Linked DNA regions of Arabidopsis thaliana. The protein of the gene in region 2 interacts with the protein of the main gene of each other region in a pairwise test. Each region holds a gene or a part of one and is shown on either strand. Other genes may lie near its edges.

Region 1 (7,584 bases), on a different chromosome or scaffold from region 2:
CCCTTCTTTTCGATAATTCACAACTACCTTTGGAGGTTTAGGTTGATTACGTTTCTGAATTCTATTCCAATTCTCTAGCCACACACCATTATTACAATCCCTACTAAAGCTAAACCTCCTCGATGCAATTTGATCATTTCTCGAACTAAAGGTAACACCTTTACAAGACCCAAGTGAAATTGATGAACTATACCTTAAGAAACGGAAGCAGAAGGAGCTTTGAAACGAGTAGACAAACTTCTTCGTGACAGTAGTTGGGCAAAAATGGAGACTGGGCTTCATCGCCATTGTTGGTTTATTCACATAGAAATGTTTCTGTAATCCAATCCATATAAAAATTGAAACTTTCAATAAAAATTTCACCTTTAGTTCGTCACTAAGCTCCTGGCTCTGTGTTTATCCATGGCGGGCAAAAAAGAAGACTGTTTGGATACAGATCTTTCGTTAACCCTACCTTAAACCAAACAGAGCACAAAACCGGCGCATCTTATCAAATATAACTCAAGCTAGCTAAAATGAGCTTCTATTTAATTAGTACAAAACGATACCGTTTGAGTCCTCAAAAAGCAAGCAAATCAAATAAATAAAGAGTTTTCCATATTTAGGTCTCAGCAATTATTAAATAAAGAAAGATGCTAAAACTAGAAGTCTTTCAAAAGAAACTTATTCTGCAAGAAATGAGTTTAGAAGAAGAGTAAAGTTTGAAGTTCTGAGAAGAATTATTCAGAGGCAGAGCCAGAGTCAGAGGCGTCAGATTTGAAGCTGTAATAGAGATCCATGATGAATTCAGCAGCGGAGCTTCCGACCATCGCGCTTTGTCGCTCAGGCAATGGAGTTGTTTGGACCCACCAATCCACCAAGTTATGTAGTGTCAGTGACGAACACACTGGCTCATCCCTTAACCATATCTCCACCTGCAAAAGAACATCAAAAAATATTAGAGTTAAAAGACAAGAGAGAGTGAGACATAGATAGAGAGAAGAGTTAGTTTACTTGGTCTTCGCTTTCGAGACCGAGCTTCACCATTAGATACTTCTTGAGATATGAGACAGTCATGTTGCTATCTCTGTGAACATAAAAACAAATCAAAGAATCAATATCACACATTCTACAACAACAACAGAGATTATAGTTGAAATTTAATTAGTACTTACTTTACTCTTATGCAGCAAGCGGTGATCGGTGGAAGTAGCATTTCAATGTTCCTGAAAACCGAAGAAACCGAGTCCTTCAAATATAAACAGAATCATAAGTTAAAGACATGAAAAAAGAAGATAGAAAAAAAGTTTTACTGAGTCTTGGAAGGCTTTAGTGAAAACCAAACTGGATTGTTGTTACGTCCTTCTTCAACTTTCATCTCCTCTTCCACGGAAACCGGAGCTTCTGGTGTAGTAGTACCAGCTGCTGGATTAACCGTCCTCCTGCCTATTCGGGGTCTCAAAGAATAGCTCTTTTCCACCGGTTTCTTACCTTTCTTCTTCCTTGATCTGGAGGTAGCAGCACCATTGGTCTTCAGTTTCTGACCAGAGTTGTCCTCTCTATCCCTATCAGAGCTAATAAGGAGACTGTTTTGATTCACTTGAACAGGAACTTCCTTTGTTTCTCTATTCACAACACACTTGTTCTGAATAGGTTCAACAGATTCCTCTGTGTCGTCATCCGAACTTATCTCAGGCTCAACGATATCAGGAGGAGTATCGTTGATGTTTAGAGTGACAGAGAGAGAGAAAATAGGTTTACAAAGATCTTTCTCCTTTGGTACGACTTCCTGAAAAGTTGATCCTTCAGCTTCGTCCTAAGATGCATAAACACATTAGTTGCAAACAGATAGTTAACAAAGGAGAACAATAGTTATACAAAGACTCATATACATACTTACCAATCCATTGTCTTCAGGTTCGTTGTTCAGGTCAAATAGATTCTTAATTTTAGGCTCCTTAGGAGGCAGTTCGGGTTCTGGTTTCGAATCAATCTTCTTCGGGAGTGAAGCTTTTCTCCCACGTTTCTGGAACGTGATTATCGGTTTTCTAGTGCTTTGAAGAGCTAGAACGGTCTCCCTATGTTTCTCCTCCACAACCACATTAGGTGGTTCCACAACCACATTGGCTGGTTCCAATGGAGTATCAGGTGAGGATGATACTCTAGATGAAGAGACCCGCAGTGAAGTTCGAGATTTTCTCTTCTTTTTCGAAGATTTCACAGACGCTGCAACAGTTTTAGGTCCTGCCTTCTTTAAGCTTTCCATCATTGCTCGGTAGATTTTCAGCTTCAAATCCTGCCAAGTGCAATCCGACCTGCACTTATATAGATACCTCAAATCACATAAAAGCATAAAGATAGATGCAAATGCTAAGAATCAAACAAGTTCATACCGAAGTTTCTCTAGAGGAAAAACACCGAGGTTAACGTTGCAGACTGGACAAGCGTTCACTCTCTCATTTATGAACTTGTTACGAATGCAGCTCCTGCAAACTGTTACCACAAATTCCACAAGTCCCAATTCATATAAAGACACAAGATATACCAATACTTAAAGCCAGGACTAGAAACATAACAAGCTAAAGAAACAGCAACTTTGAAATCACAAAGACATAAACAGACACTGAATCATCCACTTACAAAAAAAAACAGTCCTTATCTGCTTACCTTAATATTTACACAGATACATGTTGAAACACACACAACAACACCAAAAAGCTAAACAAAACATCGGTTTCAACTTCCAAGTTTCAGAATCAATCTGATATAATCTCTAGTCTACACTAATTAATATAACCAATAAACAGAGAGATAGTCACAAACAAAAAATCAGAATCTAAATCACAAAGATAAAGGAAAAAACAATCGAAGGGTTACACTTACAGGTGTGGAGACACTCGGAGATTGTGGTGGCATCCTTAAACGGATTAGTGCAGATTGGACAAGCAAGGCATGGCTTAACCTCCTTACTAAGCACCTTTGTTAACATCTTTCTCTCCGATTCCCAAACTCAACAAATCGATAAGATTTATTGATTATATAGCTTCTTCGTTCACGTAACACAACATGGTGCATGAACGAAGAAGAAGACAAACCCACAAAAAAAAGTGTCTAGCTTTATTGTTGGTTTTCTCAGAGAGAATCGATTGTTGAAAAGATTGGATTTTGGTCTCTCAAGTTTCGCTCTCTCTGTCTCTCTCAGAGAAAAAAAAAATCTGTGTAAGAAGAGGTTTTGATTTTGGAAGAGTTTGCTTTTAAGTATTTTTAGAGAGGGTTGGTTTTAAAACTATGAATAATTAGAGAGGGTCAAAGTGACAGAAAGCTAAACTTCGGTGGCTCACAAAGAAAATATATTATAGTTTTTATGCCAATGATTACATGAGTGATGCATTAGGTTTAATTTATATTTAACAATTTATTGCAAAGTTTTTCAAATATAGAGTTACAAATTTGTTCATAAAAGGTCTACATTGTATATATATTTTTATATTTATTTTTCAGGCTCTTTAGTTTTCTTTTTGTTAACTTATAATCATTATGTTTTGGCCGTTACTAATTTATAAGGAAATTACATTTTTTCTTACGTAAGCAATTACGTATTTAACAAATAAAAATTTAGATTTTTTAACTATTTAAGTAGTATAGAATTAAATGAGTATTTCTTACTTAACATCTCTAAAGATTTTTGTAAATTTCTATGTAGGTTTTGTTCAATATCGGGAAAAATATCTACGTGTCAAAAACTTTCAATCTTACTAAAACATTTACAACATTTTCTTACGTCACCAATTACGTATTTAACAAATGAAAATTTAGATTTTTTACTATTTAAAATTTAATTAAATGCTTATCCTTTGACTTAAAATCTTTAAATATTTTGTAAATTTCTATGTACGTTTTGTTCAATTTCGAGAAAAATATCTACATGTAGTTTACGTGTTCAAAATTTTTAAATTCTTCTATAAAATTTACATCTTTTTGACGTCAGCAATTACGTATTTAACAAATGAAATTTTAGATTTCTTACTATGTAAGTAAAATTAAATTAAATGCGTATTTCTGACTTAAAATCTCTAAATACACTGTAAATTTCTTTCTATGTTTGTTCAATTTCAAGAAAAATATCCGCATGTAATATACTTGTCAAAATTCCAAATCTTTCTAAACAATTTCATGTATATACATTGAATTTCATATTGGACCATACCAAATTTCTGTATTATGCGAGATATACTGTTTAATTTATATTTTTCCTAAACTGATGCTACATGTGTAAAAATGATCTCATATATTATTTGACGAGTTAGAGAGAATATTTATAAATATTTCCTACATGTCTTTACAAGAATACAGTTTTAGGAATTGGTTTTTGTTTTTACGTAAAAATAATGTTTAAGCTACTTTTATTAGTGTTTTGAAATGTGTAGTACAAGAACAATGTCTCTTGGAAAATATTTCTGAATCTCCTTAATGAATTTTATGATAAGATTTTATAGAATTTACATTAGTCCTGTATAAATTCACATTAAATGTATTATAGACAAAACATTGGTATATAAAGAATACTACGTGAAAATATTTGTGAATCCTTTTTGTGAAGTGTTTGATATATGAGGAGATATTTCATGTCTAAAATCTAATTTATCATAAAACAAAAATAGTGCAATGTAGATTTTCAAAAAAAAGAAAAACATTTTCACCTATCTTTTGTTCTTATTTTGTGTGTCAACATATTCCCTTCGCTTTATTTTCTTAAGTGTAAATAAAAGGGCCTTCCTGGAAAGTAAACTATAATAAACGAACCTCTAAAAGATGTAAACTAGGCCTTGCATATTATGGCCTCATGAGGCTTTTGGGTTTGTACTAGTTTGGATTTATTTGTAAAGTGTCATCATGTATCAAATTTTGAATTCCTATGGCCACTCTCTTAGACATTGCAAGAATTGAATGGTCGTACGAAATTAAGAAAACAGATATTTAAGTCAAAAAAATAAATCTTTGGAATGAAACTTCACGTACATGATAATGATTGTTAATATGCTGATTATATATATATTGAACTCAGAAACTTAAAGTCTAGTACAAAAACAGAAACAGAAATAAAAGAGTCCAAACTCCCATATATAGCAGTTCAAATATCATAATAACATAAACATTTCGAATTTGTGGTTTTAATTTAGTAAACAATTGGACATGCTACTATAATTTCTTAAACTGCTTTTTCAAAACTAAACACGTATTATCTCCAGAGTCCAGATCATTTGAATATTTATTGTTTGTGTAATCTGGGTCTTTTCTGTTTGATATATTATTTGCATTTAGCATTGTTTTGGAAATCAAATCATTAAGATAGTATAGTTGTTAATTAAATTTATTAGTTTTGACCTAGAATTTGCAAACGCATGCATGCATGTCCCTAGTAGCGCTTAATCATTTTTTCATCACTTGGCTAATTTTATGAAATTAAGTTCTATCGTTGCACCGGATCCAAGAAAAAAGTTTGGGTATTACAATCATCAAAACTCATGAAAGTTTGTATTTAGTGATCCCAAAACACTCATTATTTCATTTATAAATATAGCTATATAGAATTAAAAATAGATTTGCATTGTCGAGCTTGGTCACTACCAAAAAACCGTACCCTTAAACTCTACATTACTCGACTTCATTTGTAATAATTAATATGTCTGAATTTTCAATGGACCTGGCCTATACTTAATTATATTTGGCTCTATAAGCTTATAATTCAAATCAAAAGTTATTCTTACTTTACATAAGAATAATTAAATTGTTAACTATATTGTTGGTGTATAATTACTTAATTAGGACCCATGAGGTTGCAATTTGTTTTAAGTTTTTTTTTTGGTTCAAAGTCATTATCATATTGCACGTTTGACCTTGGTTTTTGGTTATATATTTCTATAAAACGATCGGGAATACTATAATTATTCGAGTATAGATTAACTAGAATATGACACAAACATTGAGACAAATTATAAAATAGGATGAAATTTTCCTCTCGTGATCGGGAAAATTGGGTACAAATTACAATAACATAATGGCCATATGAATTAAAAGACCCATGAACATGCACATGCTCTTGTTCCCTACCCCTCTCATGGGTCCTGAATTTGATAAATTCCTCCCACAAAATTAGAGCGCAAAAGAGGTCAAATTATACTATTTGGAGGCATCAACGACTTACATAATTTATATGAGATTATTAATCTATAATATGAATACAATATATATATCTAATGATCCATCATCCATCCACCAGTAAGAACCATCAATAACTCGCAAGTCGTAACAAATTGTAAGTGAGTAACAAACATCCGAATATTAAAACTTTTATATCCTCTTTTGTAACTGTATCTTACTCACTTTTTTTTTAATAATGAAAACAAATTATATTGATTTCAACATATTTTTGAAATGATGACTAAATTAATCTTGTAAAGCCGCTACACATATAATCATCAGTTAGTTTAAAATATGACAGATTACGGACCACATGTCCCAAAAAATTAGGATACACAATTTATGATGAAATGACAACAAACCAACTTTAAATTCTACTTCTTATTTTTTTTGTGGGTTGTAGGATATGTTCAATTGTTCATTAAAGACTTCATCTAAAAGTCAATACATAATCAGAGTTTTTAAAACTAAAAAACGCTAGTAATGGTTAGAGAGTAGAATTAAAAAGCTAAGATTTTATTGGTAAAATAGTAAACATAACAACGAATTATTCATTTTGGGAAAAAACTATTAGATAACACACACAAGAAACGACAAGTAGCAGAGTAGGGATCAAAACACATGTACATGTACACACACCTACATACACACATTTATATGTATGCACATATCAAGTTGTGATTGATCATCAAACCGACAGACACATGTTGGGCAATAAATATGACACAAACACAGAGATATTGAAGTTTCCTCTCTTTTGGTCACATTACAAGTTTGTCCACATCTTACTGGTAAAATACTGCCCTATATACCCATCAAGTATTTAAAATTACAACACACATATATAGGTGATAGCCACATACAATCATAAAAATACATATAAAATCAAGAACCCGTCATATTGTTGATCATTGATGCTTCTTTTTTTTTATTATTAATTCAAGATCTGTTCTTGCAGTACTTCTCCATTGCTCTCGGAGCTATAACCAAGAAAACAGAATTATATTAAAATAAAAAGAAAATTGGTAAAAATTGAAAAACAAAAAAAAAAAAAAAAAGTTAGAGATGTACCAAGTCCAACTGCTTCAGATCCCTTCATAATGCGCAAACGTTTGCAAGACTCGACAAACATTCTGAAATAGGTATTCAAGTTTACGGTTAGAACATTAGAATATGAGTCGTTAACATTTAAAGTTTATTCTAAGGTTTTTGGCAATAATATGATGATGTGCCAGCTACGAATGAGCTCTAAACATATCGATACTATTGTATAATTTTTGAAAGATCCTCTTGTCTCTTGCCAACCAATGCATGGTTGTACGTATTTATAACACATGGATGTTGAATATCTTTGGCTTTGTCTCTACCAATTTCGGGAAATGTGGTTAACGAGTCAAGTTATAA
Region 2 (8,997 bases):
TCAAAATTCAATGATGAAGTTTGGGTCAATATTAATCTTTTTTGAAGTTTCTAATTTTATAAATATTTGAAATTTATAATAAAATGACAAATTTGTGTTTAATTTCACGGGACGAGGTTATATGGTGTGACGGGTTTGAGTGGATAATAACATGGGATAGTATGCTATGGAAAAAAACATATAATAACAATCATAATATAATTATATAATCTTAAACACTAAACAAAATTAACAATATTAAAAAAAAAAAACTTAAAACTTTAATTTTTTTAAAACACATTTTGATTCTTTTATAAGAAATTTAAACATTATAAATATTTAAACTTTATACTACGGGTGAAATTTTATAATTGACTGTTTGGGTTGATAAGAATTTACAATAGAACTAGGAGTTAAATCCTAGAATGACAATCAAAATATAATTATACAATTAAATACTACCACGAGTGAAATCCTATAATTGACGAGTTTGAATCGATATTAATATGGGATGGTGTACTACGGGTGATATTTTAGAATTGATTGGTTTGGGTTGATAATAATTTACGATAGAATTAGGAGTGAAATCTGATAATGACAATTAAAATATAATTATACAATTAAATACTACCACGGGTGAAATCCTAGAATTGACGGGTTTGATTCGATATTAATATGGGATGGTGTACTACGGGTGATATTTTAGAATTGACTGGTTTGGGTTGATAATAATTTGCGATAGAATTAGGAGTGAAATCCTACGATGACAATTAAAATATAATTATACAATTAAATACTACCACGGGTGAAATCCTAGAATTGACGGGTTTGATTCGATATTAATATGGGATGGTGTACTACGGGTGAAATCTGAGAAACAACAATCAATATACAATTATACAATATTAAACATTTAACAAAATAAACAAATATAATTTAAAACTTTAAAATTTGAGTTATAAAATTTCGTCTCGCGGTGAATTATACATTTAAATCAAACAATAACATAAATTTATTAAATCATCCTAAAAATTATTCAATTATTTTTTATTTAATAAAAATATAGGTCCGCGGTATACTGCAGATTAATATCTAGTATAATAAACAACATTCCAAACTAAAAAAATACTACAATCACGACCAAAGTTTGCTCTAATTCCAGTCAAAGTTTCAAACCCTAACTGTAAAAGCTCTAGTTCGAGAAAGATCATAATTGATAAAGACAACGACGGCGACGAAACTCCACGGTAAAAGATGCTACCACCGCGTCTCTGAAGAAGAAACTCCTGAGTTTTGGAGGCGACGACGAGGAGGGAGAAGACGAAGCTTCCCGTGTCAAATCCTCTTCGTGTCCGAGGAAATACAGGCGGTTTGTTGTTTATGGATATAAATTATGGTTAAAAGAACGTAATTGATGTTTGTTGTTTTATCCCATTATATATGGGATCTCGTTTACTTCAATAGTTTGGAAAATCAAGTATTGAAGTTGAATATATAGAAGATATGATTTTCATCATTTTAAATAAAAGTAATTAAATGCTAGTTGATATATTTTTCAATGGCATATCTTATAATACCCCACATAACATTTGATTATTTTGCTAACAACATTGCATAAATAATAGTACAAGATAGCTCTTGTTGCTAAAGTACACTTGATTTAATCTTTTTGCCGTGCTCCAGACTTTGTCCTAGAGAGTTGGGTCATACAGGCTTTTGATTGGCATTATAATTAAGTGTGTTTCTCTTTTTCTTTTTCAAAATCGTTCATGCGCTTTGGTTTAGTCAAATACATAAAAGATATCTAGTATTACATTGAAAACCATAGAACAAAGTAAGAGGAAGAAACAAATATAAAAAGTGTGAGATGATCAAGTATATAAGAGAGTGAAAAATGTTTTCACTTAACACTGGACGCTTCCAGAAAACTTTGAAAGCCTTCCTTAACGATATATTCCTCAAAAGAGTATGTTCTAAAATGCGGTTAGCATAACCGGGTCGCCCTAGTCTTCTTAGGTCTCATACGATTATGGACCCACGAGATATATATAACAGGATTTCGGATGTACAAAAGAAAAAAATCAAAGATATAACTATAATAATAAATTATAATCCCTTTTTGAGATAAAATGATTTAAAGAAAAAAACAGAGGAATCAATTTTGGTGTTTAACTTTTACCGGATTGTGTGTTTGGGTTTTGTTTTTATAACTTCTACTGTCCCGTCTTGAGCCGTTTTGGTTTCCGAGTTTGCTTGACATTGTCGTTTCTGGTTCGAGAAACCGGTTCACGAACTTCATGATCCTATCGAGATGTGAACAAAACTATAAACTATCAAGATCCAACTCATGAAAATGTGTTTGAATTGAATCAAACGTAAGTAAAGAAAAAGATACCTTGAAGGAAGAAGACGAGGATTGTTTAGCGAGCTCGATTTCAACGGAGATGCTTGCTTTCGTTAAGTCCACTCCTGAATTCTCCAATGCTTCTCTCAGTGTTTTCACTAATCTGCTCCACACACAAAAGTAAATGTATAAAAGGTTAATAATTTTTTACTTTTACTTAACTGTTGCAAGATCAAAATTCAAAAGAGAGTTTTTTAGTTTTACCCTTGTGAGTAAACACTTGAAATTCTGATGTTACCCTCAAGAACTTCCTCATCTTCTTCTTCTTTTTGACTCCGGGAACTCGGACTTGGCTCTACAGCCTCTGATGATGCGACTCTTGCGTGGAACTGGGGTACGGGATTACCCGCAATCACAGGAGAGAAAAAACTGTTGCTTTGAATCGACAATGGAAATGGAGAGGTCGTCGCGGTTGTTGGATGATCAATAACAACACCTTGTGCAGTTGCAAGGACCGAAACCGGAATGTTGTTTTTCTCTTCTTCCAATTTTGGAGCAAAAGCAACTCCTTCAGGTACTAGCTGTTGGTTGTTGTTACTCTGCTATAATGTAAATGGATCACACGGGTTAACATTACATGGTTTGTTTGTTTTCAGTTTCCAACCCGGGGAATAAAAATGAAGTATGGTCGGAAAATGTGAGATTATATTTACCCAATTCAATAGCTTCGCAGGTTCGTGATTCCATCCTTGGTAAGAGGTCACATACTTGTCTGCTTTCTCTTGTAAGAATTGAATATACTCGATAACCTGTATGAAGTTGTCAAAAAAAAAAATTGGAGATTAGGAGCAGATGTGATTGAATCTTACTGTCACAAAATTTTCGGCCAAAAGAGTATAGTTATACCTCTAGTAAGAAGGAGGCCTTATCCCGCTTTTGGTCGCTGTTAGGTATTAGTTGTCTCAACATCTGAAATCTGCAGAGGGATCCATTAACAATGTTTGATTAGTATCTCCACTCTGCTAAGCTATATAACCAATTCTGGTGGCTTTTGCTACATATTCAGGACTTACCTATCATTGATCTTGCTCCTTCTCCGTTGCTCTGTAGCAGAATGTTTAGACCTAGGTGTGTTCAGCTTTTGATCGTTAGGAGAGCCTCTCACATCTGCTTTTACCCTCAAATCCACTGTAAAGAAGCAATCAATCAGATCCTAAGCTGTTACTGTTTAGACTTTAGATATCATATAGGTGGAATCTCGGACAATACAAACCTCTATGGCTCTGGCTAGTCGAGGAGCTTTCTTTCTTCATGATAAAATCTTCTTCATCATCTAAATCATCTTCCTGTGAACTTCCTTTTGCTGACCTTATCATGTCCATGAAGCTCTGGCTCTTAAGCACAGACCCTCTGCAACCAAAGTAAAACTTTAGTTGATCACTCTTTAAAGTCCATAGACCGAGTTATATAAAAAAGAGAAGATATGAGACTAACTGAGAGGAAGAGAGAGAACTGAAACCGCTCATATGGTTGTTTGTCAAAGACTGGGACCGTCTCTCCGCCACTGGCCATTGTCCCACAGTTGCTGCAACATCAGCTACACATTCAAAAAAACTTATATTTCATCATTCCATTGATTTCTAAATACTACTTTAAAACTAGTCTAAATAAACATCACGATTCAAGTTTTCTTGTTACCTCTCATGTTTACTCTCTCCCCAACACTATTCTCCTTCCTTGTCTGTCCCTTCTTCCCAGAAGCAGATTCATCCCACAGAGTGAACCCGCTTGATGCAGCGGCGTACGAGCTGCAATTAGAGTTAGAATTCTCATCCAAAACGTTTCTCTCATTAGCATTGAACATCATTGGTGGTGACAACTCCGGCTTAGGAATTCTCTGATGATGATGATGGAAGTAAGGAATGGGGCTAATCGTATAAGTCCCTATACCACCGGGAAGCACGTGCTGCAACGGTGGAGGTGGAGCAGGGGGCGGTGGCTTCTCGGACGCTGTAGTGGTAGAGTTAATCCTACTTACGTCTTCTTTAGCACCAACACATTCTAACGGTTGAAGAAAATCATGGGTTTTCAAGTGACTACCTGCTTCACGTACCATCAAAATTAAAAACATAAACTATATGTTAGAGAAGTAAATCCCTAGATAATACACATTTTCTTATACATCAAGTTGTATGCATTTAAACGCTTATAGTAATTAACAACATTTTGTTATTTATGTGATGCAATTCTAGGGATCAACATCATGAGGGTTGAAAGATATTTATTTAATCGAAGGCAAGGTTTAACGACATGTGTAGACGAAAAAGAAAGAAAAAAACGGTCCCAAAATTCCATGGGCTTTAAACACAGATGGGCCCATTAGGACCCAACAAAATAGCAACATTTTGATCCATGATTCGTCTTAAAGTCAGATCAGATGCACGCGCGAAAAAAACGTGACCCCTTTTAAGAGAATCTTAAAGAAGAAAAAAGGGTAAAATGGTAAAAAAAAATACCTTGAGAAGAAGGTGGTGGTGTTGGCTTTGGATCTGGGTGGACGGTTGAATGACTGCAGAGCGATAAAAAATCATGTGTTGGTTTTCTCCCTGTGCGAAATTCTTCTTAATATATATATCAAAATTCAAAAAAATACATAAATTTAAAATTATGAATCTTGTAGAAACTAAACACTCTGTTTTAAAATAAAATAAAGGAATTGGTAACAATAATATCTGATAATGGTGTTTACCTTGGGTTTTGAAGGGACGAGGTTGAGGAAGCTCCATGAACGACAGAGCTTCGACGGTTTTTGAATTCTTTTTAAATTATTCTATTACTAATCTGTGCGCGGGAATTATCGCAAAAATTGGCTAGCAGCTCAGATCTGCGACTTGTAGCAGCTGATTCAAGAGATATTGTGGTTTTCGATGGTTGAAGAAGCGGAATTGAGCTCTGAAGTTGCTGAATTATGCTTTCTCTGTATCTTTTTACCGATAAAAATCCTCGAATTTGGTCAAATTCTGCTCGATTTAACCTAAATCAGCCTCCGCCGCAACTTTTCTCAGCGAATTCCACAGAATTCAAACGGGAGAATCGGCAGAAGTCACCAAATTCGTGGAATCGATAGATCTGTCATCAGAATTGGGTAGAAATTCAAGAGAATAACCATAATTCAGCGGAATTCATAGCTCAAACCAACTCAATTTCGCATAATTCAAGTCAACCAATGAACATGGAGATACAAAAACTAGAATCCAAGTCAAATCTCTAAAGAACACGAATGGATTAGATTTGAGCTAAGAAGCGTACCTTCTTCGACAGCAAATTACGTGAAGCTTTTGGCGTGTCAAGGTACTGTTGAAATTACGCCGACTACTATCATGCGTCGAAGTAAATGCAATCAAAAGGAAATCAGTTAACTAATTAAAATGGTAAGATATGTATGATTAATTAAGAATCTCATGTATCTGATATTCAAGTCATCGTACATTCTTCTATAGCCTAATACCACCAAACCTAAATGAACAGTGCGAAAAGGAAAAATAAAATAAAGAAGATTTTGTGTCTCCGTTTAGAAAATCATGCTTATAAAAACCTCCATGTAAATAATGTAATCAGACCACTGTATTACGTGGTCTATGTTCGTGTGTACTGAATGCGCATAACTAGACGACTTGTTTAATTGGTAAATTGGAAGGTAATTGGTAAGTTTGACAAAGATACGTACTACTAATTGATAGCTAGGCTTGGCTGCAAACAATTACCAATTTAATAGTAAATTTAGTAGTAGAAATTCTGCTATAGATGATGGAATATAGGGGGACAAGTATGATTTTGTTCGTACGTGTATGCGTCTATGTATTTGTGTGAGTGGAGATATATGTAATGTATGTGACATTAGGTGGAACAAAGACAGCTCTTCCGCCTTTAACAAATTGTCTAAAACCCATAGTTAAGAACCTGATCATGTGAGCTAAGCGCATTTTTATATTTAGTTGAATGCCACTTGTTACAAAATCACTAACTTATAAGTAAACCAAATAGACGACTTACAAATTACAGTACTTATTTTAAAAGTCTTGTTAGCATTTACTAAACTAACATATGTCTAGTACTGTATATAATTTGAATTATATATTCGAAAAAAGTCATCTCTTAAAACCAAAAATAAAATGATAAAATATCTTTAGTCCATTTGTATTCAAGCGAAAATAGTTATGGCTTTCAAGTTTTTGCAAGTACGTATATACTTGATTAAATTACTTAAGATTTTCAGTAGTTAAGAATTAAATTTACTTACGAGTAATATTTATTGCCCTCCCCTAATGCTTACAATCTAGTTAGTTTCTGAGTACTACATCTTTCCAGTAGTCATGAGTTTAATCTGAAGATAGAAATAATAAATTGAAAACAGAGATGGAGATGATAGTGAGAAAGGAACTATAGCTAAATAGTGTTGGATCACATGAAGTGAAAAATTGTACAAAATAGGGAAAGAGCAAAAACAATTACACATCCCCACATGCCTTCCACTTTGTCTCGTGAGTTGTTAGGTTGTGCTTAAACACGCTTTATTCTCTGTATTTTATATTAACCCCATGAATTGTATTATATTGATTTAAAATCACTCGCAATCTCGTGGTTCTTTGATGAAATGTATTATTGTTATTCGAGATTCGGTTTCTCTAGAGCACAAGTAATTGGTTAGATACATTAAAATCAAAAACAAAAAAGCAAATGGAATTGTTAAGATTTTTACACGTTTAGATGAGAAGAAAGAAAGAAATCAAGGAAAGTAAATAAAAACGAAATGGTCAATTCAAGTGAAAGGCGAATAAGAGGTTAGTGTGACGTCGTTTTCATGATGTAGTGGGACCACGTGAACTGACTCTGCAACTCACGTGAGAGAAACACTGTAGAAACATAAATAGATTTTCGAAAACATTAACATCAAGGGCAATTTAGTAACAATACTTCTTGACTAGAAACTTGGAAGGCTAAGGGTTTTAGTCGATCGAAGAAAGAAGGTTTCCATTCAGTCTCATAAACTGTTTATTGATATGCCACAAACCGACCTATCCTTAACCATTCGTGGTTCGGTTGGGCACATCATGTTCTTCCCGTCTTACGTAATTCAATCAATAAATAATCATTCAACTTGAGTTAGTTAACAAAATAAGAAGAAGCATATCAAGTAGGTTTCAACTTCAAAAGATTAAGATCAAAATAACTTATATAATACAAAACATATTTTCTTTAATTTCCTACGCATATTATAAAACATATCCATGGAATTAATTAGAATAATGTATAGGAGAAAATCATTCGCGGAGTCACAAGATTTCTTAAACATATTTTTACATATTTAATCCAATTTGAAGTAAATCAATGCGAGATCTCATCACAACTACTCACCAGGTTCATGCACACGCTAACAACTGTTTTAATATCAAGATTTGATAATATTTTAAGGGTGAACAATATTAAACATCTCTTTGCATATAAGTATATAACTATATATCAATGACATTTTTTTTTTTTTGGTTTTAATGTTAGATATCAATGCTCTCTACGTTGATTTCTTACAGAATTACAGTTTATCAAACATTCTCTTTTCAGAAGTTTAATTAAAAAAATATAAACCCTTAATTTATTTATTTTGTTGTTAAAGTGTTTTTAAATAAAACATTAATTACAGAAACTTTATGCATACACAAAAGAGTGTGTGGGAGAGCATCTCATCTGAATTAGCTGTCTTCTTTACTTCTTTTTTCCTTATAAAGAGGACTATTAGTTGTCTCTAATCATTGTTATTTTCTTAATAGTATAGTAACAGATTAAATAATCATAAAGCAATTAGAAAAGAAGAATAAGAAGCTGGACTTGAAGAAAAACAAATGTATTTGTAATGCGGACATTCCTCTGTACATTTGCACAGGAATCCTCTTAGGGATCAGTTAACAAATAGTTTATCTATCTAGATATCATGTGACTTAGGGTTAAAACACGAGATTAAACAACTAATTATGATACATTGAAATTAAATATGAAGTTTTTAACCAAGGAGAAGGCTACGTACGAGACTTTGGATCTAAGAGGACACGTGGCAGTTGCGCCGCGTAAATCGCGCCGTATCACGTGATAACGAAACCTTTTGGGGTATTTTTGGCTGCCTACCTCACAGCCTCCCCCATCCATCACGTGGCCAACTCACACCTCTCGATTATTGCGGGTCCCACGTTTCTTTTTTACGCTATCCCGTTTTCACTATTTTTTATTCAAAATATAAATTAATTTGCTAATTATAGATATAAAAGCTATCTTAAAACAAAAGCTGTTAAAATGCTTTGTTAGCAAAGGGGAAAACAAGAACAAAAACTATGTACTTTGAAAATAACGGACCGTATAATTTTGATATGAAAAAAGAGAAATTCTAACCATTAAATGCACTGAACCAGATCACTGATCTATATATTGTTTTTTAACTCTTTTTTTCAACGTGCAACTAATTTAATTCTTGTACTGGAAATGAGTTATGATGACAAACAAAACAAAACAAAAATAAAATAAAAAATAATTTCTGAATGTTGCAGTTTTTATGTACCATCTATGATCTATGATAAATATACAAAAAAAAAAAAAGTGTTCATGATGCTGGTTTCTGGTGTAATCTT
Region 3 (7,961 bases), 890 kb from region 2:
AGCTTTTGTTTCTCTATGTATAAAGTCTAAAATCCTCATTCTTTCTTCCCCTAAAGTGCTTCTTGGAGATAAATGGTTGTCCTAGTCTAACCAAACTGCTTCATCACATTTCCTTATTATTACAGAGATGCTCCCCTGTATCTGGGGCTCCTAGAGATATTCTTGAGCCAAAAGCACTTGCCGATAACAATGAAAATACGAGTGATGTTGAAGAAAATGATGTGAGAAGAAGACTCAACTTGGATCAGCAGGTTGGAATCGATTCGGATATAACTGAGGTATGCCCACTTTATGATTGCTGTGGACGTTTTGAAACCATGTGTTCGTCCTTTTGTGTGGTATTGAAGTATCTGAACTAATTTATGTTCGGGTTTAGTATTACAGTGTAAGTTTCACGTTAGGTACTGAATAATTTATGTTGACTGGCTTCAAGTTTTCTGATCAATCTTGTAACATTTCCTTTAAATAATGCATTATATTTCAGTCAAATGTCCTTTATGTTAAGATTCTGAACTTCAAGACACTGATGAGAGTTTGAAGAAGCATTTGACTGAACTGGTGAAGCAGGGAAAGATTCTGAGTTTTAAGGTAAGTTTTGCTGACAGATGATGATATGCAGTTAACCATCATGTCTGTTTTTTATATGGTTTTGTAGAATTTGACTCCGAAGAGACAGCGACCAGTGTCTACAGAGATCTACAGGTATATTATCCTAGTTAAGTCTCTTTAATTTGAAACTTGAAGTTGATTGGACTCGATGAAGTAGGGTGACAATTTTTTGTTTGCTCCTAGGGAACTGTTGTGGATGGGCATGCTTTGATCTTGAGCTTCTCTAAAAACAAGCCGAGTGGAACGGTTGGGAAAGATTTAGACAAGGACACAATTTTGACAAAGTTACATGTGAAAAATATAGCTTTTGAAGCAACTATGAAAGAAGTAAGACAGCTTTTCACTCCATTTGGACAGATCAAGAGCGTTGGGCTTCCAGAGAGGACTAAGGGAAGATATGCTGGTTATGGTTTTATTGAATTTGAGACAAAGCAAGAAGCTTTAAACGCTAAAAAGGCATTATCCAACACCCATTTCTATGGACTTATCTTGTGTACTCATCTCTCTAGCCTGTTCATCTTTGACATCCTTGAATGCATCCTCAACTCGCTATTTGCCGTCTTTGCAGGTGATCGAGTGGAAAAAGGTTGACAATAGCATGAAGGCGATCCGATATCGTTCTGCTGCCAAGTATGTGGATCAAGAAAACAATAATCCAAAGAAAAGGAAAAGCTCGACAGTTGTTGGTTAAAGAAGAATCAAGTTTGGGAGAATAGCTGAATATTATTGACCATGGTTTCTATTGTAACATTTTTCAGAGCTTCATTAATGGAGTCTAATTGCAATTCTCACAAAATCAAGAAAAAGAAAAAACTTTGTTCTGCTTGTAACTGTTTTATACACATGAACTCGGAGTTCAAAGAAAGCCAGCCTCTGTTCTTGGGCACAATCATTTTTTCACAAATGCAGATTCAGCCAAGTCGATGGCTCGAGCAAGACCAGCGGCTTTGTTCTGGCACTCACAGTGTTCGTCTTGCGGGTCACTATCAGCTACTACACCAGCTCCAGCTTGAAGATAAGCCACCCACTCACGCCGTTTGTTAGCATCCTTGTAAGAGTACATTGTATTGTATTGACATGCTGTCGGAAAAACGATTGTCCTAAGGGATAAAGCAATGTCCATGTCACCAGTGAAGGAGACTCCACCAAAACCGCCACTGTATGGTCCACGCCTCGTTGGCTCTAGCTCATCGATTAGTTCCATAGCTTTGACCTTTGGTGCACCACTAACTGTTCCCACTGGTAAAGCCGCACGTAGTACGTCCCAGCAAGTCAAACCATCTTGTAATTCTCCTGTCACCTACACACAGAATTAGAACTTAAGATATTAAGGAACACACTATGCGAGACTTTAGATATTTGATCTACTACTAGTTATCTAATTAACAATTACCGTGGAGCTTATATGCATAACATGGGAATAACGTTCGATGTTCATAAGCTTCTCTACTTTCACTGATCCGTATTTCGTAACCTTTCCAACATCGTTGCGACCGAGATCAACCAACATGATGTGCTCAGCACATTGCTTTTCATTCTCTAGCAGTTCCTTTTCTAATCTCTTATCCTCAACTTCATTCTTCCCTCTCTTGCTGGTTCCTGCCAATGGCCGATTCACTATCTTGTTCTGCTTCAAATATGATATAAAGGTTAGCTTCAAAAATGATATAAAGATTAATGCAGCTTTGAGAAAAGAGAGATTTACCTGCTTTACTTTGGTGAGAATTTCTGGACTTGATGCTACCAAAATGCATCCTCTAGCCTGAATAACAGAACGAAAACAGCATTGATGGTTTATCCACAAGTACAAAATGCAAAGTTGTTGAGAAATGTTCTCTCCATCACCAACCTGCAAATAACCCATATACGGACTTGGATTCACAACTCTTAGTGCTCTATAAACTTCAAAGGGGTCTGCAAATGTTCGCCGCTCAAAACGTTGACTCAGCACGATCTGAAATATGTCTCCTGCAAGTATATGTTCTTTGGCCTTGACCACAGCCTCCTTGTACTCTTCGCATGTCACGTTTGAATTATCCAAAGATGGCCCAAATTGTCGTGTCTGAAGATTCACGTTACCTGCAGCCAGTTTTGGCCTGCATAGATTCACAGCGGAAGAAAAATGAACAACTTTTAAGAATAGTAGCCAAACGGAGCTGAAAAACTTAATCAATTCAAAGAGATACTCACGGCTCAATATCATGTAACTTGGCCACCAAGTTCTCCAAATGTTGCATTCCATTACTGTATGCCTTTTCGTAAGGAAGGCTCCCATCTAGTCTAATCCAGTGAATGACATATGCTTTCTGTAAAATTTTACAAGGAATCTCTAGTCACCACTTCAAGAACAAGATAACGCATAAAAAGGAAACTAAGATGCATGTCTCAGTTAATCATAAAACATGGATGGTGACAAAATGATTACCTTTTCCACGTGATCAAATACAACTACATCGTCGTACAGACCAAGATGCATGTCTGGCAAGTTCCTATCATCCTCAGGGGCCTTTGAAAATGGCAATTTCCTCTTCTCAACATAACGAACAGTGTCGTACGAGAAAAAACCAACCCACCCACCTATCATAATAAAGAAATCTTACTAAGAGATACCACTTCATGAACAAGATAAAGCACAAAAAGTAAACTAAAACACTAAGGGCAATCAATCTTCTATCTAAAAGCGCGAGAAAAGATATTCAAGAACGTAAAGGCGAATTGGGCACAAAAGGTAGAGGGAAAACTAGATCACAACAGGGACAGAATGACCAGCATAAGAAAGTTCTCTACTTTATCAATTGCTCTTGCCTCTTGGGAAATCAGACGTACATGTTTACAACTAGGAATCCCATGACCCCATATGATATGGTATGTAGTGAACACGGGTTACGTGCATTAATTGCTAAATGGTTTTGAGATAGAAATCCATGAAACTTGACATTTAAAAAGATCACTCAAAAGCAAGAGCTTGTCTCGAAGACATCCATACCATTATCACATATCCCCAGTCCTTAAAACTAGTGGCTTCATTCCTTTTAAGTTAACTATTCTAGAAAGTGACTCATTATAAACAATAAAGAAGAATCTCTTACCACAAAACGCATCTGGAAGGTCCTGAACTAGTTGAGGATCAGGGTTCCATTTCTCAGAGATTTTTCTTGGGATCTCCATTGGATCTTCGACGAATTCCTCAGTCATGGTTTCATTGTTGTGATCCATTACAATAACTTTATTCTCCTTTGCCACGATCTCCATCGCAGGCTGAGCCCCAACAACGCTATAACGACCCTATCGAGACCAATCACATCAAAGAAACAATTAGGAACTGAGACATATTAACAGATAAAAAGGATATGTACAAAGAAAGATTATATACTTACAACGCTAGACATCTGAGAACCAGGCTCAACGGACTCGAAAAGAAAGCTAGGAGCTTCACGGTCATCTTCTTTGACCAAACAACGGTAAGCAAGAACAGGAGTAAGCTGATCAGAGAATATACAGCGGTAAATTGGTATAAGGTTTGTACTCTTAGAAGCATCTGCCAACTTCTTTGTATCACTTACTGCAGAGAACAAGTCCAAAAACATGTATCAGAACTGTTTTCACGCTTAAGAAGATTCACATTCACAATCAAACCAATCAAATTAGTCAGAGAATAGAAATTATAAGCTTGACATAAATGTCGTTCAACCATTTTCCCGCATTTTATCGGTAAAAAATCAAACAATCAAAAACCCAAATTAAAAGAAAAAACGAAGAGCATTGCTTCACCTATTGAAGCTTCCGGAGAAACAGAGACGCATTTAATCGAACGGAAAGAAGGCGCGTAAGCCGAGCTTCTACCGGAGTATCCAGTAACGGTCACAGAAGAAGAAGAGAGATAACGAGAAGCAACAGAAGGGAGAAGCCGGCGAGAGAAAGTCAGTGCTTGCATCGTCGCTACGTTCATAGAGGAAGACATTGTAACGGCTAAGAACTCGGTGGCGGCCGGAATGTTTGAAGATCGGAGAAGAAGATTCAGAGGTGACGGCTAAATGAGTAAATTTGATTAGTGATTATTCTACGAGATGTGGCATATTTATAAAGAAGATGACCATGTGACTTATTTAGCAATTTACTTTAATACCCCTTACCTGTATTTTCCAATTTCCCTCATTTTTTCACTATAAGTCATGTGCATGAACCATGAAGGCAGCGAACCCTTTTCGGAAAAACTAAGCAAACTTGTCATTCACAAAGATATTGCATCAGTTTCATAAGCAAACGATACGAACGGTCGTCTTTCTCAAAAGTCAAAAACCCTTATCTTCTTACTTTAGTGTTCGAAAAGTCTTTCTTTATTAATGCCATTACAAGACAATCCTCAAGTATGCGTTTTTCATTTTTTTCCAACAAAAATAAAAACATAGAAAAGTTGGTAACATGCCTGATAGCGGAATGTTAACAATACTACTTCTTTTACCAGATTAGTATTTAATTTCTTCAGTCAATTATATAATAGTACGAATGTAGAAACTTTGACATTTTCTTGAATAAACAACGATCATAGTAGGACTATGTAAATTGGAAGGTTGCTTTAGCCTTTAGTTGCTACCAACCAAAATCAAATCCATCCACATTAAAAGCATGTGCTTTTCTTCTTATCTTTTACCTTCCAATTTCATAATATTATTCTTTCCTTCTATTATACTAATATTAATCCTTCCTAGTCATTTCTTTATGTTATTAAAGTTTTGAATTGTTTTTCTTGAATAGAGAATTTAACGTCGTTATAGCATCAAATTTGTCACATACTCTCGCATGTCTATAATGTAGTTTAAATTTCTATTAATTCGTCTGATATATATATATATATATACAAAGTTGTTAACAATATGATTATCACTACCCCATAAACAAAGTTGGTCTTTTCTGTTTTTCCAACCAGTGAAAGTCTCTTTTTCAAAACCTAGATTGACAATCCCACACGTAATTAATAACTGATTAGCAAAATATTAGTTCACATTTCTGTGAGAAATTTGGTTTGTTTCCTAAACTGCTCCATGAGAGTAAAAATATAGAGCAAGAACAAAAACATAACTTTAGATGTCAAAGTAGAGCATAGAGACCAAAACAAAAAGTTACAACTATATCTCTGATTTCTTATTGTGCGGTGTAATGATATGAGTCACTTCACAAGCCAATCATCATGGCTTCATTGCCCGTGAAAGCAAATGGGTAAGGCAAACACACAAGCAAGGAGAGAAACAAAACCAGGATTCCAAGAGACACATACTTATCATCAGGCACCGTGATTTCTTCAGCCAGCGGCGCAATCGGTCCACGCTGCAGGAAGAATATCAGAACCACCCAGTAGAATGCCACGTCGCTGAACAACGCCGATAAGCCCAAAAGCGCTATGGATGCACCCGTGAGCCGTGTTGCGGTCTGAAATCATTAGGAGACATATATAATTCTGATTACTACCTAATCAATCTACTATGGGGAATGGACTCGAACACAAAGACGAATAGTATAAGACATTGTTAAGCTTTTTAAGTCATTCTAATTAGTGTTACCTTTCTTCCCCAAATGGAGAAAGCTATTTTGCCCCCATCGAGCTCCCCCGCAGGGATACTGTTAATGCCATTGATGAGAAGTCCAGCCCATGCCCAGATCACAAGTGGGTTAAGAGATATTGAAGTTCCTTCTTTGAGTGCATCACCTAGTAGGAGCTTTGCTATAAGAGAAAAAGAAACAAAATTTAAACATTGATCAACTCTCCAGCTTCAGCCTGCAACACTTTATCATATTTGATTGAGAGCTAAAGCTTACCAATACCACCAGCAAGGAAGGACTCGTGAAACACTGATGCATCAACTACAACGCCAATGCCGTCACTGGGAGGCACGAATAACCCTATAAGAAACAGAATCAAGCCTAGAGAAAAGCCAGCCAAAGGTCCTGCAGCTGCAACCTTCAAAAGATCTTCTCGCTTGGCTACGATATTTTTGATTCTCGTTATAGCACCGAAAGAGCCTATCTGCCATCTAAAACATGTTCATTAAATGTCTAAAAAAACCAAATTTCAGCTGAAAGTTTTTCCTTTTCTTTCAAATAGAACATCGCATCTTCACCTGCCAACTTGGAACAAAGAATGGAACACCAAGCTTTATTCCTAAGCTATTTGCAACTAAAATGTGTCCCAGTTCATGTACTCCAAGGACAAGAGCGGTGACAAGAGCTCCTGGTAAGCCATCTTTTAACAGTTCAAGGTTGTCAAAGGCCGATCTGCAATTAAATTCATATATGGGAGGGAAATTTTTTATTCAGTTAGATGTTTTGGAAGCATAACATATTCTAGAGAAAACATGTTCAAGATGTTCTTACAGTAAGTCGGATTGCAAGGCAGGCACATTACGGAGAAACAATGTAAACAATGCCACCAATCCAAAAGAACCAGCAGCAAACCATTCAGGAACAGCTGCAAATTATATGTAGTATCCAGCTAAAACTTAATAATCTGAGAGAGATATCCTTATTAACATGGAAGTGTATAGCAATATACCTGTTGTCTCGGGTTCTAAGGACCTTCTTGGAACAACAACGGCCACAGGTTTATCATCCTCAGGATTCGTGAGAAGGAAAAGCTTGTACTGGTCACCAAAATTATTCTGCAGATTGATGAGCAATACACTATTACTCTTTGTCACAACATGTGCTTGTCAACGATCATAGTTAAGAAAGGAAACCCAAAAAGCAGAATTGTTACCTCCATCCTCGTCTTTATCTTCTCGTAACTTGTAGCAGGCTTGCCTCTTAGATTTCCTTTGAACAATACCCCACCCTACCAACATTGGATAAAAACGTCAGGAGATCCAACAATAAGAGAATTTCAGAACCTCGTATTTATGTTTCATTAAAAGCAAAGTTGGTAATAACGTTAGGAAAAAAGACTGATGAGTTTCTCACTGTCTCACCTCATATGGTTCTTGGCTTGTTACGAAGAAGGTGTCAAATCCAAATACTTGGCCCCTGAGAATATCAATGGTTTCCTTGGGGAGTCTCATGGAATCGTCCAATTGTAATGGCTGTTCACAACAACTTTTTATGAAAGATAAACAACCAGAAAACATTATGCTGTCGTCTTTGTAAATAACATGGATGATAATACTTACATTCACACCAGGAAGAGGAGAACCACTGCTAACTTCTAATTTATCACCGTCCTATTCCAAATGCAGTAGAGTACAACACATTCAGAAACAAAACCAAGAAACAACGCATATGGACACGTTATGCCATGTTTTCAAATTAGATTCAATTACTTTCAAGTTTAAATTACTAGACTACCAAAACTTAAACTTACAAAT
Region 4 (6,519 bases), on a different chromosome or scaffold from region 2:
CTGAGAATCATTACCAGCGTGTTGATTCTGATGATGAGGGTTGTTGTTATTGTCCCATATCTGGCTGAGGGATTGAATCACTTTAGACTCGTCGTCTTTGGCTTCGTGATAGTTTTGTTGCGCTTCTTCAGCTTCGGCTTTCTCTTTCATAGCAGCCCAGCTTTCTGAGTTGACAAGTAGGAAGGAGTTACTGTCTATTTTCATCTGTAGTTCCTCTGCTGCTCTTTGAACATCCTTGAGAACGTTCCCTGGGCTTAGCTTCTCCATTTTCTCCACCTTTTCTCCAAACAACCTCAAGACTTTGGCTCCTTCGTTTCCAACTCTTTGAAGTTCTTGACGAAAAGCCTGCCTTTTTTCTGGAGCTGCCTGCAAATCCCACACCAATTGATATCACAAGTCTTATAGGGCATACGACAAGCATTGAACTCAAAGAAAACCATTCACTAGTAACAACAGTAAACTAGGAGATCCCACTTTGCACCTACTCAACAATTATATGACAAATATCCGACTTCTCAGAGTAACAGTCTAGTTAATCACGAAGAGGTACTAGTAGCATTTGAAGCAGGTTGGTATAGTCTCTAATAACCATTATAGCACCTCATTTGCTATGATAGATAAAGTTGTATTTAACAAGAATATGGTAAGTTACCTGAATTTCCGAAAGAATGCAGCCATGCATTGCCATGACCATGAAAGCGCAGTGCCTTACTGCGCCACTAAGTTTGACGTAGTTTGCCCATGGATGGTGGAAAGTCTTATATGGTCCATGTGGAGGCTCCCATACTGCAAAATCAAGCTGAGGAAAAAAGAGGTCATCGTATCTTATCATCTAAATCCTTTTCAAGTTATCTAGTTGCTGCTCAACAAAAGTGTCCTAAGGAAAACACACCAGAGAATCTTCTTGGCTCGTAGATTGGACTACAGACCTGTATCCACTGTATAATGGATCATCCGAAGCTTGGTAAGTGAGAATCTTCGAAGGAATCCTCTCGTATTCAACACATTGCAAGTACCCATTAACACATCCTGAAAGTTTTAGGAAAGCACAAACAAAACAAGACATAAAAAAACAGCCAAAACCCGAAACGAAACAAGAGAAAACAGCCATTTGACGTATCTCTCTACCTTCAAGTGAATTGGCCACACTTTTGAAATTCTTAACAACTAGTTTATGGAGGTCTTCTCCAGCCCAAATGGGAAGTATAAATATGTTCACACCCAAACAGATACCAGCACCAACCAGGATAAGCAAAAACCTATAATAAGCAGTGCTAAAAAAATCTCTAGAGTTGTTTCCAGACACAAGAACAATACAGTATGTCAACAAAAACACCCTGAATGCATATTCATACGACTTCATCGCCGGGTATAGTTTCAAATAACTTGCAGAAAAACCTGATAGACAAACCAACAGATTCACAAGTATCAAAAATAAAGTTAGTATGTTTATTTAAAAAAGGTTCATTTCTAATAAAAATTGAGAGAAATAGTGCAACCTGCAATGAAAATACTGATAATGATAATGAGTTCTTCAAATTCTCCAGCTGAAACAGAGAGTCTAGCTATGCCAAGAGCAAGTCCTCCAGCAGAGAGTGTTCCTATAGCTCTATTAAATCCTTTGACCAATGTTGCTCCTTCAAAAAACAGAGTTAGAGCCAAATTAGATCTCTGAAGACAAGTAATCCTAAGACAGATCTAATGAGAATTTAGATCGAAGAAGACGAAAGTTTTGATTTTTAATCAAAATCCGGAAGATTTGATCGAACAACAACAACCCCAGAATCGATCTGAATCTATAGAATTCGTGAGTCACAGTACCTATACTATACTCAAAGACGACGACAACAGTAAGGATCGCCCAAACAGCATACTTGCTAGCGTCACGGAGTGGTTCTTTAAGGTAGATGACGAAAGAACAGAGTGCGAGAGCCATCCCCATCTTAACGGAGAAGTAAACTTTCCGACGATCGGAACGACCCATCTCGTATAATTTAGCACCGATGTCGTATAAAGCTTTCCAGGAAGCAGTGATCCCGTCGGAGCAAAATCGGAAACACCGGAACTTGGAACGACGGTCATCGATGATGTTTGAATCATTGAATCCGAAATCTGAGCAAGCTTTTCGAGAGAGAAAGGCTTCTCTAGTTTGGTCAGCCATTTGCGTTGATTTCTTCTTCCAAAAGATCACGATTTCATAAACTGAGAGTGAGATGAGATGGTTCGATCAGATGGATCCCACTTTAGAAGAAACCTTAATTATAGTGGGGTCCTGTAATGAAAAGGGGTGAATCATGTTTAGAAAGATTCCGAAGCTATAAGACAACATATAATTTAATTAGTAATAGTATATGATTTTCATTTGTAGAGCAAAAAACAACATGATTTGGCCGTCCATAAAAGATGTTTCTTGTTCTATATGTATATTGTTTCTTACGAAATTTTAAATATTTGAATTTGAACTCATTTAAAGAAATTTGGAAGTAGTCAAATCATAAAAATTTGTATTTTTAAGGACATTGAAAAGTACGATATTTTTTCTTTCTTACCAATATTAGGCATATCACAATTTTTTTATTTTATTAAATCATTGTTTTGCTAAAAAAAAATCAAGCAAAAATAACTATCAATTGAAGAGTAGAGTTTAAAAAATAGTATCACTCATGTTTTTTTTATAATTATAACATTTATTATGTGATGTATAATAGTGTATAATTGTTTTGTGGTAAGATGAAAAAAAATCGTTTCAGTCTATTAATTCATGTTTTGCTGTCACCATTTGAACAACAACACCATTGTAAAAAAATTGCAATCACAGATTCACAGTTCAGGTTTTTACCGAATTTTGAAAAAGTTATTGCATCCGCTCTTTGCCTTCATACAACAGAAGCATCTTATGTGTGGAGGACTACACTTGCATAAAATACCAGTAAAATTGTTCTTCTTATGAGAAAGATTGAATCACACGCTCCCAAATGGATAGCTTAGGCGATTAGTGGGACATGATAGATGCATGATATTAAAGTATGGTTTGGTCATGCGCCATTAATATGTATGTCCCTTATCATATACGTCTCCTAATATAGAGACCATTTTGTACTAAAGTTCAAGAGACCACATAGATAAAATTAAAGAAAAGATAACATACTGATAATTTTCTTAGTAACATGTATATGTGTACGTATACCACAGAAAGAATGATCAAATTTTAGATTTCAGAACGCAAAACAACTTAACTGGAAGGAAAAGAAAATCTAGTTCTAGTCTATATCCCGGAGAGATGCTAATAAGAGTCTTTAACTAGGCTTTGCTCTCTGCTTTTGCTTTGTTCTTTTCTTTTCTTATAAACTAAAAATCTCTAGAAAACATTCATACTAAAAAACAAATTCTAGAAACCCAAAAATTTACTAAACCTTATAAAAAAGACCAACAAATGTGAATACTTTCTTATGATAAAGTACGAGATGAACTTTTATGACAGATTTTCTTTTGTAAATTTACATTTCAAACCAAAAACCTAATTCTATATTGGCTAGTTATGATTCATGGCCGGCCATTGATGATAATTTTGTAAACGCTTTAACACATATAAATGAGTATTTAAATATTTTTATATCAGTATTTTCACGAATGCTACATATTTGAATTGGCTAAACAAACACAAAAGAAAAAAGAAAAATACCACAACAATAACATTTCCTAACCACATTTACGTCAATATGTAAATTTATAAGTAAACTAAAAATACTATGTTTTGAGCAGTTTAAAACAATTTGGAAAACAATTAGTCAAGATAATATCATCGAAAATTAGATTAGATATTCCAAGATTTGTTACTTTTTCCTTTGAATGGTTCATGCAAAAAAAAAGGAATGGTTCCTTTAGACCAGCAGTAAAATAGTAGTAAAAATCGGGTCTAACGTAACAAGTGAGAAAATCAAGGTAAGTGAATAATACTAACAGCATATAAAGGTTAAAGCTTTATCCTGTGAGAGAAACAGATAGAATTTTCAGAAAAAGAGCACAAGGTAGGTGAAAGATTTCTTCTTTCTTTTTTTCTCATCACAAACTCTCTGCATTTCTCCACGAAATCATTACTTGAATAGTAACCCGTCTCTCTTATATTTGCTTACTGTGAGCCTGCGACTGTAATTTATGTTCTTCTCTTTCTAAAGATTTGCGTTTTGTTTGAATCGGAGTTTAATTCAAGAACCCTTTTTTACACTTCTTTCTTCTAAGGGTTTTAGGTTGTAGCTGTGTGTGTGTGTCTCACTTATCTCTTGTGGGTTTTTATCTCTTTTGAAGAACAGGAACAGTTAAAAGTCGGGATTTTTGGGTATTTGAGAAGCAATCGGAACAACAACGGCGTTTGTAACGCGGATTTATGTCGGCTGTGTCTGAATCGGCTGCGATTTCGTCTCTGTTTCTAATCTCCTTTGCAATTCAATCGTCTTCTTCTTCTTCCTCGTCTGTCTTGTTCTTTGGTCTGAGTCTGACGGCTGTTCTTAACGCTCTTCGCTTCTGCTCCGAACAGAGGCTTATTCTTGAGGTTCCTTCCATTTCCATGGGCTTAAGACTTAAAAGGTTTGGCCTTTTCTCTCTTCTTCTTTATCTTTTTCTTTTGTTGGTGAAGGAGAATCTAAAGGTTTTAAGTATTGGTTCTGGATTGTGATTTTGTGCAGGACTTGTTCTGGTGTTGAAGTATTTGGGGGTTTTCACGAAAAGCAAAAAATACCCTTTTTCATAGTTCGCTGAAACAGAGAAATCTTTTTCCTGAAAAAAACCTCATCCGATTTAGCAGTTTTTGATCAGAGATTTTTGAGTGGGGTTTTTTTGGTGTGTTCTTGGTGTGTTTGAGAAGATATGAAGTCCTTTGTGAAACCTGAGAGAGACTCTTTGTTGAGAACAGTTCGTATTGTTTTCACTGATCCTGATGCTACTGATGATTCCTCTTCCTCTAGCGATGAATGGTTACCTAAACCTCGAAAGGTAAAGCGTTTTGTTCATGAGATTACTTTCCTCCCTCAGGTCTCCGAGAGTTCTCAGGATCGTAGCAATGCTGTCAAAACCCCTAGAAGGAAATCTACTAGGCAGTTTAAGTATCCTGTGGGAGTTAGGCCGAGGCCATCAGGCAAATTTGCTGCTGAGATTTTGAACCCATTCACTAAAACTAAGAAATGGTTGGGTACTTATGAAACTCCTGCAGAAGCTGAGAAGGCTTATGTTGACAAGAAGGTTGAGTATGATGCACTGGCTTCTTCAGGTTCTGCTGTTTCCTCATCGGTTGTAACAGTGACTAGCCAGTGCTTGCGTTCCCCTACTTCTGCTTCTGTTTCTTGTGTAAGTGCTGATGATTTGTCTAAAGAAAAGACGTCTCTGAACAAAGATGTTGCTGCGTCTGGTGATTCAACCACCAAAGAAGTGTTCACTACTTTCGACTTTTCGGATGTGAAAATACCTGATCTGAGATTCTTAGCAGCAGAAGAGGATTCTATGGTTTCTAATGCAAATGGTGCAGAGCTAGACTTTGATTGTTTCCTTACTGACTCTAACATTCTGCTGGATGATTACTCATTGCTCGAAAATGATATCAACTTCAGCAGGTTTGAAAACAGTCTTCCAAGTGAGCTACCTGACTGTGATTTCACTGAAATGGAATTCCAGCTTGATGATTTCAAATTTGCCTATACAGATCATCTGACAACACCGCCTCTCGGTTTGGTTTAAGAGTTGTTAGCTTCGGTTTCTGTTTCACAGGAACATGATGAAGAAAGCTAGAAAGTATGATCCTTGCGGTCTGATCTCTATGGATTTTTCATGTGCTTTTAGAACAGTCCAAAGGAGTGATTTGCACAACATTTTTTCATAAATGTTGGTTTTACTTTCTTTCATCTTTATGTTTTAATCTATTTCCTTATGCATTGTTCTTCGTATCTCTTTTGTCTCTTGGTGTTGTACCTTTCTCTTTTAATGTTTGTCTAATCAGGACAGAAAATCTAAACCGAGAATTTAATAAGTCATGGGTTGATATTAATAGTACATAACAGTTGGATCACATTTATGTTTTTGAAGGTGGCTAATGGTGATTGTGACTTGTGAACGACCAAAAATGAAATGTAGACGACTCTCTCAAGTGGCATTCTCCACTACCTTAAAAGTAAAGAGTACTAAAGAGAGTTGACACGTGTTCCTGTACCTTTCTTGGTACGGACATTTGTGTGTGTTAAGCACGTGATACGATCAGTCCAAAGAAACTCTACAAGACGTGAGCGAGATGGTGTAATTATTAAGTCCAAGATTGATGGGCACTTTACATAGTGTGGAATCCTTTTAGATTAAGAGATCTCGTTGATGTTTAAATATAAGCTTGATTAGTTTGTGTTTCAGAGCAAACCCTTGTCTTGAAAACACTTGATACAGTCATCAAACATCTCTGTTAATGACTTGAAGGAGGCAAAGCCAAGTTCATGTATTTTTGTTGTGTCTAAGCTATGAGGCATATCTTTCCCTTCTTCACTG

Evidence for each region.
Region 1: the proteins of BIM1 (region 2) and AT3G23060 interact in binary tests that used the Arabidopsis thaliana proteins (3 or more experiments, as listed by UniProt).
Region 3: the proteins of BIM1 (region 2) and ASA1 interact in binary tests that used the Arabidopsis thaliana proteins (3 or more experiments, as listed by UniProt).
Region 4: the proteins of BIM1 (region 2) and CRF12 interact in binary tests that used the Arabidopsis thaliana proteins (3 or more experiments, as listed by UniProt).

What each region holds. Positions count from the first base shown.
Region 1 is NC_003074.8:8,196,252-8,203,835, reverse strand, and holds AT3G23060 (RING/U-box superfamily protein), read right to left. Parts: upstream 3,201-7,584; 5' UTR 2,969-3,200; coding exon 2,863-2,968; intron 2,473-2,862; coding exon 2,373-2,472; intron 2,295-2,372; coding exon 1,880-2,294; intron 1,796-1,879; coding exon 1,293-1,795; intron 1,229-1,292; coding exon of another isoform or gene 1,206-1,228; coding exon 1,155-1,205; intron 1,067-1,154; coding exon 994-1,066; intron 915-993; coding exon 720-914; 3' UTR 501-719; downstream 1-500. Other genes in the region: CFM3A (CRM family member 3A), read right to left, coding at 1-288; IAA7 (indole-3-acetic acid 7), read right to left, coding at 7,120-7,160, 7,252-7,313.
Region 2 is NC_003076.8:2,604,463-2,613,459, forward strand, and holds BIM1 (basic helix-loop-helix (bHLH) DNA-binding superfamily protein), read right to left. Parts: upstream 5,789-8,997; 5' UTR 5,633-5,788; exon of another isoform or gene 5,453-5,632; 5' UTR 5,110-5,452; coding exon 5,073-5,109; intron 4,942-5,072; coding exon 4,840-4,941; intron 4,424-4,839; coding exon 4,022-4,423; intron 3,921-4,021; coding exon 3,818-3,920; intron 3,734-3,817; coding exon 3,597-3,733; intron 3,512-3,596; coding exon 3,397-3,511; intron 3,300-3,396; coding exon 3,230-3,299; intron 3,133-3,229; coding exon 3,037-3,132; intron 2,926-3,036; coding exon 2,588-2,925; intron 2,487-2,587; coding exon 2,375-2,486; intron 2,283-2,374; coding exon 2,193-2,282; 3' UTR 1,556-2,192; downstream 1-1,555. UniProt on the Arabidopsis thaliana protein: Positive brassinosteroid-signaling protein. Transcription factor that bind specifically to the DNA sequence 5'-CANNTG-3'(E box). Can bind individually to the promoter as a homodimer or synergistically as a heterodimer with BZR2/BES1.
Region 3 is NC_003076.8:1,718,242-1,726,202, forward strand, and holds ASA1 (anthranilate synthase alpha subunit 1), read right to left. Parts: upstream 4,670-7,961; 5' UTR 4,571-4,669; coding exon 4,381-4,570; intron 4,172-4,380; coding exon 3,987-4,171; intron 3,895-3,986; coding exon 3,699-3,894; intron 3,187-3,698; coding exon 3,035-3,186; intron 2,916-3,034; coding exon 2,800-2,915; intron 2,706-2,799; coding exon 2,315-2,705; intron 2,237-2,314; coding exon 2,003-2,236; intron 1,926-2,002; coding exon of another isoform or gene 1,910-1,925; coding exon 1,499-1,909; 3' UTR 1,334-1,498; downstream 1-1,333. Other genes in the region: AT5G05720 (RNA-binding (RRM/RBD/RNP motifs) family protein), read left to right, coding at 126-321, 506-588, 793-1,012, 1,119-1,300; AT5G05735 (uncharacterized protein), read left to right, coding at 1,725-1,925; EGY2 (ethylene-dependent gravitropism-deficient and yellow-green-like 2), read right to left, coding at 5,782-6,036, 6,168-6,328, 6,424-6,631, 6,726-6,879, 6,979-7,072, 7,157-7,262, 7,361-7,435, 7,569-7,817. UniProt on the Arabidopsis thaliana protein: Part of a heterotetrameric complex that catalyzes the two-step biosynthesis of anthranilate, an intermediate in the biosynthesis of L-tryptophan.
Region 4 is NC_003070.9:8,944,109-8,950,627, reverse strand, and holds CRF12 (AP2 domain-containing transcription factor family protein), read left to right. Parts: upstream 1-3,999; 5' UTR 4,000-4,028; intron 4,029-4,305; 5' UTR 4,306-4,584; intron 4,585-4,682; 5' UTR 4,683-4,863; coding exon 4,864-5,727; 3' UTR 5,728-6,019; downstream 6,020-6,519. Other genes in the region: AT1G25480 (aluminum activated malate transporter family protein), read right to left, coding at 1-366, 653-799, 893-1,029, 1,129-1,398, 1,500-1,637, 1,822-2,161; AT1G25460 (NAD(P)-binding Rossmann-fold superfamily protein), read right to left, coding at 6,384-6,519.